Stegostoma tigrinum: one gene and its partner. The protein of the gene in region 1 purifies or fractionates together with the protein of each later gene. This does not show direct contact. Links are inferred from orthologs where the notes say so. Each region holds a gene or a part of one and is shown on either strand. Other genes may lie near its edges.

Region 1 (7,830 bases):
ATCTATCTTCTCCTCTTTCCATTTGCAATCTGTCTCTCCCTCTCTCCCTATTTATTTCAGAACCCTCTCCCCATCCCCCTTTTCTGATGAAGGGTCTAGGCCCGAAACATCAGCTTTTGTGCTCCTAAGATGCTGCTTGGCCTGCTGTGTTCATCCAGCTCCACACTTTGTTATCTCGGATTCTCCAGCATCTGTAGTTCCCATTATCTCCTATCTGACTAGAGTTTTTTTGAGAACATTTCAATCAGGGTAGATTGAGGCAAACACTTTTCAGGTTTAAACCCCATCTGCCACTTCTCAGCCCAACTCTGCATCCTATCAGTGTCCTTTTGTAACCTAGAGCAGCCCTCCGCATTATCCACAATTCGACTCACCTTCATATCATCTGCAAGCTTACTAGTCCACCCTTCCACTCCTACATCCAAATCATTTACAAAAATCACAAATAGAAGGAGGACCCAGAACAGATCCTATAACAGTCCTATATCACCCAGGCCTGTCAACTATACTTCAACACAGGTCACATGACCCCTTCATGTTTACCCATACTTAAACATAACGCCCCAAAACATTGTGATCTTGTAAATGTCCTAATTGATTTGCTTTAACTCCTGAGCATCTTTCTTTAACCTATTTGAAGTTATGAACAATTCTTTTAATGAAAACCAGAAGAACTGCAAATGCTGTAAATCAGGAGCAAAAACAGTTATGAAGGGTCTAGGCCTGAAACGTCAGCTTTTGTGCTCCTGAGATGCTGCTTGGCCTGCTGTGTTCATCCAGCTTCACACTTTATTATCTTGCTGGAAAAGCTCAGCAGGTCTGGCAACATCTGTGAAGGAGAAAACAGAGTTAACGTTTCAGGTCCGGTGGCCCTTCCTCAGAACTCCCTCAGTTCCGAGGGAGGGTCAGCAGACCGAAAAGGTTAACTGTTTTCTCCTTCACAGATGCTGCCAGACCTGCTGAGCTTTTCCAGCAACTTTGTTTTTGTTCTTGAATTATTTGAATGACTTTGTACCAAAGAATCAAGTGCTATATACCATTGATGTTTTTTAGGTAACAATTCTAAAATATTTAGAAGTGATCGAGTTCCAAGGAAGAGTCATATCAAACTTAAAATGTTGACTCTGTTTCTCTCTCCACAGATGCTATCAGGCCTGCTGAATTTATCTAGAGCTTTCGTTTTGATTTTAGATCTTCAGCATCTGTAGTAGTTTGTTTGAATTTTACAGAAGCAGCTAATACCTAAAGGCAGAAATCAGCCCATCCTCTTGTAGCTCTGTTTCTGTTACAGATTTGTTTTAACCACTGATGGGATTCACTTACTTGAGACAAGTTTGTAAGTGCCGCTCCAGCAAAAGTGAACTTAATAATTCTCCAACAATGAAACAACAATGCTGTAAAATATCACTTTCAAAACCAGACTCTCAATATGTTTTCATCAGACCTTTTCATTCTTCTGTAATTTCATAATAACCCCTTGAAAAATGGCTTAATGGCTAGTTTTAACCATTTGTGCTTTCGCCCCAGATGTCCTGTGCAAGGATACCATTTAAAATGGAGTACTCCATTTTAAGTTTTCAGAACTTTTTTGAGTTCAATAATTTTAGGGCCTAAACTCTCCCGTGTCCCAGCCCCTATGCCAACACACCAAGCCTTGTTACCACACAGCCGTCCATTACATACTACCTGTTATTGGTCACTAATAGTCCCCATTAACAACTATTCACCCTCCCAGACTGATCATTTTCACCTTTGTCTGTCCAACTGGTCTTTTCTCTCTTCCTATTGTTCACTCTCTACCCCATCCCTCTCCCCTTTATTCTGCATATAAACTGACATTTTCCCAGCCACCGTCAGTTCTGAGGAAGGGTCACCGGATCCGAAACATTAACTCTAATTTTCCTTCACAGATGCTGCCAGACCTGCTGAACTTTACTAGCAACTTTGTTTTTGTCCTGTGTTTTACACCATTTTAATACATTACTGAACTGAGTTATGACAAATTTATATAATGCATACCAATGAGCAAATGGCCCCGCAACCTGTGCTGATAGATAATCCTTGAACTGTGAATCACCTAAAATTGCTTAGTGAAAGCAATGCCTCCCACTTACAAGGAATTTCATAACATCACTGGATTTGCACATTAAAGTCAGGACAGTTTAGCCGAACTCGTCCTCACCCTCAACAACTTCTCTTTCAATTCCTCCCACTTTCTATAGACAAAGGGGGTGGCCAAGGGTGCCCACATGAGACCAAGCTATGCCTGCCTCTTTGCAGGATACATGGAACAATCTCTCTTCCGTACCTACACTGGCCCTAATCCCTCTCTCTTCCTCTGTTACATTTATGACAATTGGCGGCACGTCGTGCTCCCGTGAGTTCATCCACTTCACCAACACCTTCCACCCCAACCTTAAGATCACTTGGACCATCTCTAATACCTCTCTCTCCCCATCTCCAGCAACCACCTAGAAACCGATATCCATTTCAAGCCTACCGACTCCCACAGATATCTAGAATACACCTCCTCCAACCCACCTTTCTGCAAAAAATGCCATCCTCTATTCCCAATTCCTTCGCCTCCGCTGCATCTGCTCCCAGGATGAGGCATTCCACTCCCATACATCTCAAATGACCTCGTTTTTCAAGGACTGCAGCTTCCCCCCTGTCAGTGGTCGAGAACGCCCTTGACCGTGTCTCCCGCATTTCCCACAACTCATCCGTCACACCCCTCCTCACAATAAAAAACAAAACAGAATCCCCCTCGTCCTTACATACCACTACACCAACCACCGGATCCAACGCATCATCCTCCGACACTTCTGCCATCTGCAATCCAACCCAGACATTTTTCCCTCCCAGCCCTTATCTGCCTTCTGGAAGGACCACTCTCTCTGTGAATCCCTTGTCTGCTCCACATTCCCCTCCAGCTCCACCACACCCGACACATTTCCCTGCAACCGCTAGAATTGCTACACCTGCCGCCACACCTCACCCCCATCCCAGGCCCCAAGATGACTTTCCACCTGAAGCAGATGTTCATCTGCACATCTGCCAATGTGGTATACTGCATTCGCTGTTCCAGTTGTGGCCTCCTCTACATTGGGGAAACCAAGTGGAGACTTGGGGACTGCTTTGCAGAACACCTATGCTTGGTTTGCACTAAACAACTGCACCTCCCAGTTGTGAACCATTTCAACTTCCCATCCCATTCCGCAGACGACATGTCCATCCTGGGCCTCCTGCAGTGCCACGACGATGCCACCCAAAGGTTGCAGGAACAGCAACTCATATTCTGCTTGGGAACCCTGCAGCCCAGTGGTATCAATGTGGACTTCACAAGCTTCAAGATCTTTCCTCCCCCTACCGCATCCCAAAACCAGCCCAGTTCTACCAGCCTTCTTAACTTGTCCTTCCTCCCACCTATCCCCCCGCCCACCTCCATCCCCATCCCCATCCCCATCTCCTACTTACTCACCTCATCCCACCCCCTTGACCTGTCCGTCCTCCCTGGACTGACCTGTTTCGTCCCTCCCTCCCCACCTACATTCACCCTGACTGGTCTATCCCCACCTCTTTGACCAGTCTGTCTCCTCTCCACCTATCTTCCCCTCTATCCATTTTCTGTCCGCCTCCCCCTCGCTCCTTATTTATTTCAGAACCCCCTTCCCCATTTCTGAAGAAGGGTCTAGGCCTGGAAGGTCAGCTTTCCTGCTCCTGTGAGGCTGCTTGGCCAGATGTGTTCATCCAGCTCTATACCTTGTTCTCATAGAAAGACAAATGTACCATTTTAGTGATTGCCAATCAACCTCTACGACTTGGAAATTAACAATAAAATATTTTGATCCTCATTACTCAGGAATTTTTCCAATTGCTGTTGTTTTTAAAATAGTCTAAAATATCTTATATTTCCCATCTGCCTGTCATTTCTGTCTGTCCATCCAGTTTTCCTTTCTTCTGGATTTCTCTTTTCCAGGGACACAACATTTTTTCCTCAGTGCGGCCAATTGAATATTTACAAGCAAAGCCTGTTAAGGGCAATGCTAACATCAAAAAGTGAGGGGGTGAGTGTTTTGGGATGGGGAAAGAGGACTAAATCAAAATCGAATTGGAGGGGGAAATAATGTACTATATTTCCTGTGGTGCATGGATTCCTCTTTCTGTACCTGATTTGACATTGAATTCAGCTGGTTCAGACTTCCTGTTTATTCCTCAATCCTTTAATCCTATTTATTATAGTGATACATTATTGGCCCCTCAGTCATCAAGTTCCCAGATTACCTGTCGCCACAACTTTGGACCTAACACCTTAGGGCAGAAATGAAGCAGTTGTGTTGAAGAGGGATAGTGTGAGGCAAAATGGTGGATAGATCTTTAAGAGGAGTGGGGGTTGGGTATTTGTGGAGAGATTAGTGCTCGGTTGGGGTGCGACCAGGAGAGGATGCAAAAGATGGTGGGATGCATGAGGAGATTACTAGGTTAGGAAACTGGATAAGAGGTGAATGGCATAAAGAAACTGGAGGAGAATGGGAAGGTGGGGGAGCAGGAGACAGCAAAATGGATGGCTGTTGGTTGGTGTAGACCGGAAGGGAGAGACACGGGCGGGCGTGGGGCGGGTGGGTTTTAGAGACCGAAAAAAGGTGGGAATGGAGGGTCTGAAAGTCTAGAAGAAGTAGTAGGAAGGGAGGAGTTGAGAGAACAGAAAAACGGATGGAAACAGGACAAGAAGCCTGGGGGAAGGGTTAAGAGAGAGGGAGTATTGAAGGGGAGAGGATTAGCACTGAAGATGGGGTGGCAGTGGCCTGAAGTGATTTGGAACTGGCGGTGATTGACCCGGGGTAGTCCGGCGGAGGGCGGTTATGCCACAACCCCCCCGCCCCCCCGTTTCTGGCGCTCACATTCCAGCATGCTGAGACAACGACTGGCAGTAAACGAGTGCAGGCCGCCCAAAAGGGGAGGGACCAGGGGAGGAAACGGGGAAAAAAAAGCCGAGTGCTTTCCAGAAAGGTCTCGGCCTGAACGATGCACCTTTTATGCGGAGAAATCTCCCGTCTTTAGTGGAGCGGCGCTGACGTAATGGGGATCAAGTTAGGCCTGAGTGTCGCAGTTGCAATTAGAGCGGCCGGCGGGAGGGTGTGAACGAGGTGTCGGAGCCTGTGTCCAATCTCCTCGTATCCGCGGCTTTAGGCTGTACCGGGAGCTGGTGATGACAGCCGCTATTTTTAACTACCATCATCAGCCCGAGGCCGCTATAAAAGGGGCCGCAGCTGCGACATGCACTATTACAGCAGCGTCTTAACGCACTATCCCGGCACCGCCTTCAAAGTCTCCATTCCAGCGGCGGAGAAAGCGCCTGTCGAGGGCCCGAGTTTCGGAGTGAAGACTGAGCCCACCGCCGCCTCTTCCTCTGCCGCCTCCTCCTCCTCCTCTACCACCACCGCCGCCATGCCCGCCTTCTCGTCATGCGAACTGCTGCCCCCGGGCCCGGCTCCGTCTCCGGCCTCGCTCCTCTATACTTCCACCGCCAGGATTCCCCTGCGGCCTCTCGAGAGGATGGTGCCGATCCAGATCTTGAGCGACAGAACGCAGGCCGAGCCCCCGGTGCCGGGCCATCAGGGACGGGGTGTCTGGACCGAGGACATCCTGACGGAAGGATCGCGGAAGGCTTCAGCCCGGATCCTGGGCGATGGCCAGCAAGAGCGGGCAGTGACGGACTTACAGCCCGCCTCGGAAGGGCCGGAGACCGCCTTCAACCCGCCGGATGGTGACAGCACCGAGCGGGAGTACCAGGACTGGGTCGGGCCGGGTCCCGAGTCCCGGGCTACGGAGGCGGCTGAACAGAGCAGCAGCAGTGCCTGGGAATTCGACGGTGGCTTCAGGACCGTGGACCTGGTGGTGGAGAACAAGGCGGACAGAAACGACAAAGTGGCTCGTTACCTGGCAGAAGTGGAGAAGCAAAATAGTTACCTGCGGGAGCGACAAAAATACCGGTTCCATATTATTCCAGACGGCAACTGTTTGTACAGGGCCGTCAGTAAAGCTGTATACGGTGACCAGAACATGCACAAGGAACTGAGAGAAGAAACTGTCCATCACATCGCAGATCACTTGGACGAGTTTAACCCCATCATCGAAGGGGACATTGGGGAGTTTTTAATCAACGCTGCCCAGGATGGAGCCTGGGCTGGTTACCCAGAGCTGCTTACTATGAGTCAAATGCTGAACATTAACATATACTTGACCACAGGGGGTAGCCTGGAAAGCCCAACAGTTTCCACTATGGTGCATTGTCTTGGCCCAGAAGATCAATCAAAATCCAGCATATGGCTGAGTTGGTTGAGCAATGGACACTACGACGCTGTGTTTGATCAGTCTCTACCTAATCCAGAGTATGAAACCTGGTGCACAAAAACACATGTTCAGAGGAAACGAGATGAAGAATTAGCAAAGTCCATGGCAGCTTCTCTTTCAAAAATGTACATTGAGCAAAATGGCTGTTTTTAAATGACTTTCCTCCCAAGCAGTACTATTCATAAACATTTCAGATCAGGACCTAAGATTCCCTGCATAAGCTGATGAAACTGATATGAGCAAGGCTAGTAAGAAGTACAAATGTAAAGATTGTTAATATGGTTTTTATTTATTTATATGCTTACACATTGATTGGGCTAACAGCACTTTAAAATGGATCATAAAATCAACTCTAAGTAATGCCTTAATTAAATGTGTGAATACCTAGATGTTTTACCAAATGTTTGAGCTCAAACTAATGAAGGTTGCGGGGCACCTGAATTTTTAAATCAGGCTTATTGCAGATAAGAGACCATAGGATTGAATGGGACTGCATTGTCTCATTAAGCATGTGTTTTTTTTAATTAAAATCTTAATCTTCTGATGTTTGGAAAGCAACTGATGTTTAATCTCTGCTTTGGAGAGTTTTTATTCTGAATGGGGTTTTTTTAAAGATGTTTTATTGCAATTTTTTGCAATTGCTGGTTTGTTATTGTCATATCTCCTTCATTACGTTCTTGTATTTGGTATTCTGGCAGGTAGCTAATTGCCACCTTGATTTTTCTAATTGGTTAGAATAGAGATTTTAGATCTTTTAAAGTTTAGCTACAATTACTAACGTTATTACTGTCTGTTTCTTGCCATTTCACTGACTTTTATACGCTGTCCAAGATGTATTGACATCCAAAAGTGGTTTGCAGGGTCAAACTTGTAACCAGTTTGCAATTACTGTATTTGTATTGATTGTGAAGTTATTAATCAACATGGAATGAATTAAAACTATATAACATTTCACAAACAGCTGTCAGAGACTAAATGTTTCATACTCCTGTTCTTAACAGAAGCAGAGGGCCTTGATTATGACACTCCAGTAAAATATCACTTTAATATTCTGCAAAGCTCAATCTATATGTGTGTACCGAGTTTAAACTCTCTCTAATTAAACCTCAAGTTTCAATGCCAATAAAAGTTGGTAATTAGATTATTCAAACCAGAAGACGTTTTTAAAAATTGGATGATATTTTTGAACAGGCTACACTAATTATTAATAAATCTAAAGAATGGAGGAGAAACCTTCAGCTTGGTTACTCTGAGCATCTCTACCACATGGACCAGCTACCGATTTTAAAAATTGGTGGGGTAATTTTTCTGCATATTGTGTAGTGCATGAAACTATTAAATCAACACTTCAACTACCAGCTGGTAACTACTGTACAAAACCCAGTACATAAAGTGCAACATTTATAAAGTATACTGTAGTCTGAATGCACTCAATGTCATGTACTTTGCCATTAACTTACAATAAGTAGCTTTTTA
Region 2 (7,855 bases), on another chromosome or scaffold:
TAGGTGAGAATTGAGTTGTGGGATTAATTTGGGATTGATACAGGTCATAGAGAGAGAAAGAGATCGGTTTGGGACTAATTTTGAGCTGGAGAAAGTAAGTGGGCTTGGAGGTTTTTACTTGGGTTTCATATCGAGTTTTGGGAAGTGAATGCAGCATTCAGATTAGTTTTTCCAGTGTTATAGGGAAAGAGCGGGTCAATCGAATTAGTTTGTGACTGATACAGGTCTATGGGAAGAAAGTGGAGTGGAATTAGTTGGAATTGATACAGAACTATAGGAGGTAGTGACATTAGATTGGGACTGATAGAAGGCTCTGGGGCAGAGTGTAGATCAGTGGTACTATTTTGGGATGGATATGGGGCTATGGTGAGAGCATGTGACAGGGAGTTTGGGATAGAGTCAGGCCTACCTGAGAGTGTAAGGCAGGGAGTTTGAGGTATGGTTACAGGGAGACAGGTAACAGGATAGTTTGGATGGATATGGGGCTATGGGGAGAACATGTGGTAAAGTTTGGGATTGACATAGAACTACAGGGAGAGAGCATATATTGGAATATGTCTGGGATTGTTTTAATGAGCTAACTCAGATGCATTGAGCTAAGTGGTCTTGTTCTATGCTGTGAATTTCCCTAACACTGTGTGGTTTGAAAGTCTAAGCTTTTTGATTCCCAATGAAACAGAGAAGAGATACCCAATCCTATTAAATAGCCTGTTTTGTTCATTAGGAGTTCTGTTTTGTTTTCAGAAACCTAAACTTAAAGAAAGCTTGAAATGTGAAGATAGAGAGTTAACCCCAAATTCTATGCGGACAACAACAGTTTGAACTTATATTGCCTTGGACACAGTTAAATATCTAAAGGTACTTTGCAGCAGGCTTAGCAGACAAATACTTGAGAATGAGTCACATGAAGAACAATTTAGGAAGATGACTAAAAGCTAACTTTCAAAGAGTGTATTAAGGACAGGGAAGTGGAGAGATGCAGAGGTTTAGGGAGAGAATTCCAAAGCCTTGGTCTGAGACTGAAGGCACAGTCACCATTGGTAGACTGATGGAAACGGGGGCTGTGTGTGAGACCAGATTTAGAGAAAGGGAGAGCACACGGAGAGTTGTAGATCTGAAGGAGAAAACAGAGAGACCATAATCATTCTTTGCTGTCTGATGACTGACTCACCCAGCTACTGTCTATTTGTCAGTAAAAATGCTCTGTGAATATTCTTGCAAATAATTTCATTGATCATCAAGTAAGAAATATCATTTTTTGTAAAATATTGTAAAATGAGACTCTGTATTGTACCAGTGTGTATAGTTAATGCTGTCCTTGTCACTCAAACATTGGCATACTGCTAACTGCTCTGAGTGTAGATTGGAGTGAAAGAGAAACAAGGAGACTGAGTGGTGGCCCAGCACTGAATTGCCTTCCTTTCAAATCTGTGTTTTCCTTTTCCTCTGGTTTGAACTCTGGTATGGGCTTTATACCATGTTTTTGCCTCTCTTGGCCAGTTGAGTTCTGTAGTCTCTCCTTTGTTGCTTCACTGAGACCATGCTTTCAATTACAAATAAAAATTTGTACGCTGCATTTGTGAGAAAAATTTCCTGGCAGTCAAGCACCTCAAAAAAGATGAGGCCACGAAGAGTCCTGGGCTCCACTAGGGATGGGGTCTGGGGGAAATCTGACCCCTGTCCTGCCCCCAACATGGGGGAGACTTGTTACCACATCCCCACAAATGTACCTTCACTCCTGAGATGAGGGTCTCAGCAAGTCGTGACCAACCCTAGAGATGGTTTCTGGGGAGTCCAGCACTCCTCCTTCCCAAACCACTTCTAATTTCTCAAAATGGGATTCCTGGGCATCCTTGTCTCCTTAAACCCCTCCCTCTTCCCCACCCAGAAATGGTGAAATGATGTACTGGGCAATCCTGGGTCCTCAGCAATGTCTGCCTGCGATACTTCCCATGTTGTCAAATAATATTCTTTGTTCATTTATTGCTGGGGCTGTAATCGGTGGAATGTATTTTGCTTATCAATGGTTTACTATTAAATATATATTTCAAAGTGATACATTTTCAAAATATTCGTGTTTTTTTTTGACAAATCGTGACGAAAAACAATTAAGCCACTCATTAGCCCTATCCTTTATAGTAATAAGAAATGAATTTGAAATTCACCCTCTAATGCACATGAGTGATGACAAGACAATCACACAGATAATATCAAGGTATTTCACCCTGATGTCAGGAAATTTACCCCAACAATATCAGGGGAGTCAGCCTGCCACCAACAACATTTTCACTCTGAAAGTCCAACGCAGGGGAGAAAAAGAAAGCAGTATGAGTGAGAATGAGAGATCAGAGCCTCATTTGGATATTAGTCTAAGTAAAAAGAATTAGCTGGCTTGGAAATGTAGCATTTAATTGGGTCTGTCACTGGATATGTGGTTTAGGCACTGATCGGGAGCCAGAGGGGCAAAGGCGATGACTGGATATCTCAACATTGGTCTATGAGGAATGTCACACACAGCTCACACAACTAATTCAGAGGCTGACTGACCAGTGAGGCACCTTTAAGATATGGAGAAAAACAGATTTAATTACTTTCATGCAGCGTCCCTGAAGCTTTCAATAGTGAGTTGCTACATTGCTGAGTGATGATGCCTGGCCCCTGGCAATGATGCCTCATGCTATATTCGATCAATGAGAACATGTGTACAGCTATTCCTGGGAAGGGGCAGGAATAAATGTATAAAAATGAACTTCTGTCATTCTAACACTGACCCTAGGATATTCAGAAATAGCAGCTGAGCTCAGTAAGGCTGGGACTGCTCTCCGGTAACTCCTACTCACTTTCTGTTTCTGGAATCCAGTCGTTTTTAGGAGTGGGAGGATAGGGGTACAAATGGAATTGGGGGGTGCACAGTGGCTGATGTGAAAGACAAAAATGTATTAATGCAGTGAATGCAGTTGGGAAAGGAGAGGGTATTTACCCAACCTCTAGACAGTTGGCACATTGAATACACCGACAGGGATTCCCCCACCACACCGCCCCCCCCCCCCCACCCTGTCATTGCTTACACTGGGAAGGATGCAGGTTAACCCAGACTGGTGAGTTCACAGAATTGTAACATGACAGGAGTGACATGCCTGTCCTGACTCTCTGAACAATGCACCTAGTGCCATTTCCTGCATTTTTGTGATAACCCTGCACAAGTTCTCTTTTCAAGTAAAAACCCAACATACTATTGAGTGCATCAATCCACCACGTTCTCAGGCAGCGCATGCCAGATCTTAACCACTTGCTGCATTCCACATCTTCTCCCCATGTTTCCTTTGATTATTTTGCCAATTACCTTAAATTATATCTTTCAGTCTTGATTGTTCAACCAGTAGAAACACCTTTTCCTACCTGGTTAACTCCACGTAGACCCCTCAGGATTTTGAATACTTCAATCGAGTTTCATCTCAAGCTTCAAGGTGAACAGTTCCCAATTTCTCCAGCATACCTATGTAGCTGAAGTTCCTCATCTGTGGAACCAATCATAAGCATATTTTTGCACTCTTATTAAAGCCTTCACAAATTTTCTAAAGTGGGGTACCTAAAATGGAATTGAACAGTACTCAAGTTGGGGCTGAGACAGTGTTTAATGCAGGTTTAAGATAACCTTGCTGTTGGACTCTACACCAGCACTACTCAAGCCTAGGATACTGTATGCCTTGTTAATTGATCTCAACGTGGTCTGCCACTTTTGATTACTTATACCCCTAATTCCTTCCATTCTTGCATCCCCTTTGGAGTAGTACCCTTATATTTTGCATTCTTCCAAAATGAATCTCCTCACTCTTCTCCACATTGAATTTCAGCTGCTACATATCTGCTCACATCACCAACTTATCTACATTCTTTGCAGTTTCACATTGTCCTCCTCACAATTTAGAAAACTTGGAGCGAATCTATCAGCCACAAGTTTCAAAATTCTGTTCTGAACCACATAATGAATATAGATCAGGTAAAACAAGGCTCTCAACACTGACCCACTATAAACCCTTCTCAGAAAAAACTTCATCAAACACTAAATTTGAAGTATTGCAGATGCTGGATATCTGAAATAAAAACAGAAAGTACTAGAGAAGCTCAGCAGATCTCCCAGACTCTGTGGAGGGAAAAGCGGAGTGAATGTTTTGACTCCGCTGAGTTCTAAGTCAATGGATTCAAAATGTGAACTGCTTTCTCCGTGGACGCTGCCAGACCTGCTGAGTTCTTCCAGTATTTTCTGATTTTTTATTCCATTAGCCACTACTCTCTGTATTCTGTCACTCGGCCAACTTCCTATCCACTTGCTACTGTGCCTTTTAAATCGGAGGTCTAACTTTGCTCACAAGTCTCTCCATGCAGCACGGTATCAAATGCCTTTTGGAAGTCCATGTTATTGACACCAACAGCATTACCTCTCGGTGTTATCCCTTTCGGAGGGATGGGGGTGGAAAGTGGGGGAAGCCAGCAAGTTGGTTCAACATGATTTGCTCCAGTTAGCTCATTGAATGGTGGCGAGAGGAGACAGGTCAGACCCTGGGTGGAGTTAAACTGAGCTCTAGAGTTAACCCATTGAATGGAGAATGCACCCAGAGTGGGGTTCAACTCAGGCTGTTATTAACCCATTGAGTGGAGAGAGGAGGCTGGGTTAACCCATTGCTATCCTCGATGCTTTGAGGTGCTAACGGAAGGCTGCAGTCAGCGGCTATGACGAGCAGCATGACCTGGCTCTGGAGTTTTTATACGGCCATGGCCTCGGGATTCCTGGCGAGCCTGCTCTCTGACGTGGGCCCGGAGCAGCCGTCACTCATTAAAAAGTGCGGCGGGGCCACCAGCGCGGCCATTCGGCGGCTGGTAGCCGGGCGGAGAGGGTGGAAGTGAGAAAGAGAGAGGACCGGAACCGGGAGTGAGCAGGAGGGGGGAGTTACCGCGGCGAGACCCACTCTGTAGAGTCCGGAGAAGAAGTTTCCCGGAGGCGGACGATGGAGCAGCAAGAGGCGGCGGCCAATGGCCAGGAGGACGGGGAGATGCCGGCTACTGAGAAAGACCTGGCGGAGGACGCTCCTTGGAAGAAGATCCAGCAGAACACGTTCACCCGCTGGTGTAACGAGCACCTCAAGTGTGTGAACAAGAGGATCGGGGACCTGCAGAAGGACCTGAGCGATGGCCTGAAGTTGATCGGATTGTTGGAGGTGCTCAGCCAGAAGAAGATGTACAGGAAGTACCACTCGCGGCCCAACTTTCGCCAGATGAAGCTGGAGAATGTGTCTGTGGCGCTGGAGTTCCTGGAAAGAGAGAGGATTAAACTGGTCTCCATCGGTAAGAACAACTCCTTCCCCCTCCCTTTTCCCCTTTATTCCCCCTCCCTTTTCCCCTTTATTCCCCCTCCCTTTTCCCCTTTATTCCCCCTCCCTTTTCCCCTTTATTCCCCCTCCCTTTTCCCCTTTATTCCCCCTCCCTTTTCCCCTTTATTCCCCCTCCCTTTTCCCCTTTATTCCCCCTCCCTTTTCCCCTTTATTCCCCCTCCCGCCTTTTCTCCCCCTTCCTTCCCCCGCCCCCCGCCTTTTCTCCCGTTCCCTGCTTCTTCCCCCCGGGAAGGGCAGTCCCGGGTGAGGCGGGGGGGGGGGGGGTGTAATTCCAGTCCCAGTCCCCTCTTTCCCCGCCTCTGGCTCGGCTCCTCACTGAGATCCACCGCTATTGAGTTTTAAACCCATGGGCTAGTTTTCCTTTTTTCTTCCGACAATAAAATATATTATTGTAAAGACGTTTAAAATTCACATGTTTTTTTTTGCCAAGAGCGTCAGTAAGCCGCGCTCGCCAGCCTCTGGAAGGAGCGGCGGCATGGTTAATGCTGAACTTCTCCCGAAGTGACGGCGAGCTTGTTGGAGAGCGGGTTGTTATTTCTCGGTCACTGAGGCTTGTGGAAGCAAATTCAATTATTTTAAGGTTCCGCAGGAAAGCGAATGGTTTGTGTGGGAAAGTTAGGTGCCTCACAAGGAAACACCAACAAAGTGTGATTTATGTGGGTAGTTTTTTGTAAAAGCTCGTACAGTCACGATGGACCAAATAGCCGTCGGCGCTACGATTCTGTGAATATTACGCTGACTTGAAGTCTAACTTTTCTATTTTATACAGAACCTTGTCACATATCTCAATATGGCCCAGCGGTGCTGGAGCTGCAACTAATTCTTGGCAGTGACTTATAGGTGAAGGGAACAGCTATTAAACCCGCAGCAAGATTCCCACAAATGGCAATGAGATGATTCTCTTCAACACTGAGTCAGAAAGTGTGTCTGAGTCTGACTGCAGAGGCCTGAGCCCAAACTCCAAACTGACCCACTTGGGAGTGTGCTGTATGCTGCCCTGCCCTGGTGTGGGTGCTGTCTTTCAGATCAGACCCTGTCTATGCACTTGGATGGATGTAAAAGCTCATATGCTGCTATGTATGGGAAGAAGAGCATAGCCTGACTAATATTTATAAATAAGGCAGAGTCTGGTTACTGCTGTCTATGGAATCTTGCTGTGTAAATTCCTGCAGTATTTCTGAATAAATGGGACTATACAGCAGAAGGAATTAATTAATATGAAGTGAGTTGGGCTGCACTGAAGATGTGAGGACAGTGATTAGAAATGCAAGTCTTTCAGTATTTGTGACATTGGTAGAGGGAAAAATGTTAACCATGACACTGGAAGAATTTCTTAACCTTCACTCATTGGGTTTTGTGCACCCAAGCTGAACCATGGGCCCCTGGCTAACATTTCAGTTGAAGGACCAGTACAGCTCAGTACAATACTATCATCTGAGATCATTGGTTTAAGTGTATGAGTGACAGGGTGTGAGTGTCCTGCAGTTGTTAATTTTAACAGGTGCAGAAGTAGAGATTTGTAGAAATTGGCACAGCCTCTGTGATCACAGGAGCTTCTGTTAGTTGGGGGGGGGGGGAGGAAGAAGTTCCTAATTTCTGGCATTGATTGGTGGCTGAAACAGATTAGGACAGCAGAGCTAAGAACAGTTGACTGAGTGAAATGTCAGATTTCCACATCCCCTTAATCACTAAGGTGCCCACTTCCACCCCTTGTCAGTTTGCCAGTCTCTACCTTGGCTCATCTGCTGCTGGAACCCTCATTCATGGCAGTGTTACCTCTAGAATCAAAGTATTTCCATGATCACTGGGCCAGCCTTCCTTCCTTCCGCTTGCCATACACTGCAGCTTGTCTGAAACTCTGCCTGTGTCCTAACTCACTCTTGCTGCTGCCACTACATGCCCCCCCCCCCCCCCCCCCCCCGACTCAAAAACAAAAATCCCTGTGCTTGCTGATCTCCACTGGCCACTCATCCCACCAAAGTTCTCACCCTTGATTTCAATCCATGGTCTCCTGCAAGCCATCAGAAATCTTTGTACTATTTTAATCCTATAACCATTGGGGAATATGCCTTGAACTATACAAACCCTGGTTGCTGGAATTTTAGCCCTATCTCTTAAGTTACTGCTTCAGACTTTTGGTCATGTGGGCTGAATATTTCCACACTCAGTTCCCTGTTGATTTTTGTAGTAACTTCTCTTGTAAAGTGTCTTATGTTAAATGTGCTGTACAAAAGTAAGTTTGTGCAGCAGTGAACATGGCTGCCTGCCTGCTTGTCAGTTTAATTTGTAACAGTGAAAATGTCAGAATGGTAGTGGGGGGGACTGTTTCTTGCTGCTTGCTGTGAGAGCTCAGAATTAAGCAGGCAGTGTTTTAATTTAGTCAGTGCACTAGATTGTTGGACAAAGTCAGTAACTTCATTGTAGACAAGGTGGAAATTGCCAGGCAGATCAAGCTCTATCAGAAA

The links. The genes of interacting proteins can lie anywhere in the genome.
Region 2: the proteins of OTU domain-containing protein 1 (region 1) and flncb purify together in Homo sapiens (affinity purification with mass spectrometry; 3 studies listed by BioGRID and IntAct, with this or other methods). This does not show direct contact. The link is inferred for Stegostoma tigrinum from reciprocal best matches to the Homo sapiens genes OTUD1 and FLNC.

Annotation. Positions count from the first base shown.
Region 1 is NC_081355.1:119,876,370-119,884,199, forward strand, and holds OTU domain-containing protein 1, read left to right. Parts: upstream 1-4,881; 5' UTR 4,882-5,277; coding exon 5,278-6,507; 3' UTR 6,508-7,312; downstream 7,313-7,830. UniProt on the Homo sapiens protein: Deubiquitinating enzyme that specifically hydrolyzes 'Lys-63'-linked polyubiquitin to monoubiquitin.
Region 2 is NC_081378.1:21,511,783-21,519,637, reverse strand, and holds the start of flncb (filamin-C), read left to right. Parts: upstream 1-4,844; 5' UTR 4,845-5,006; coding exon 5,007-5,343; intron 5,344-7,855.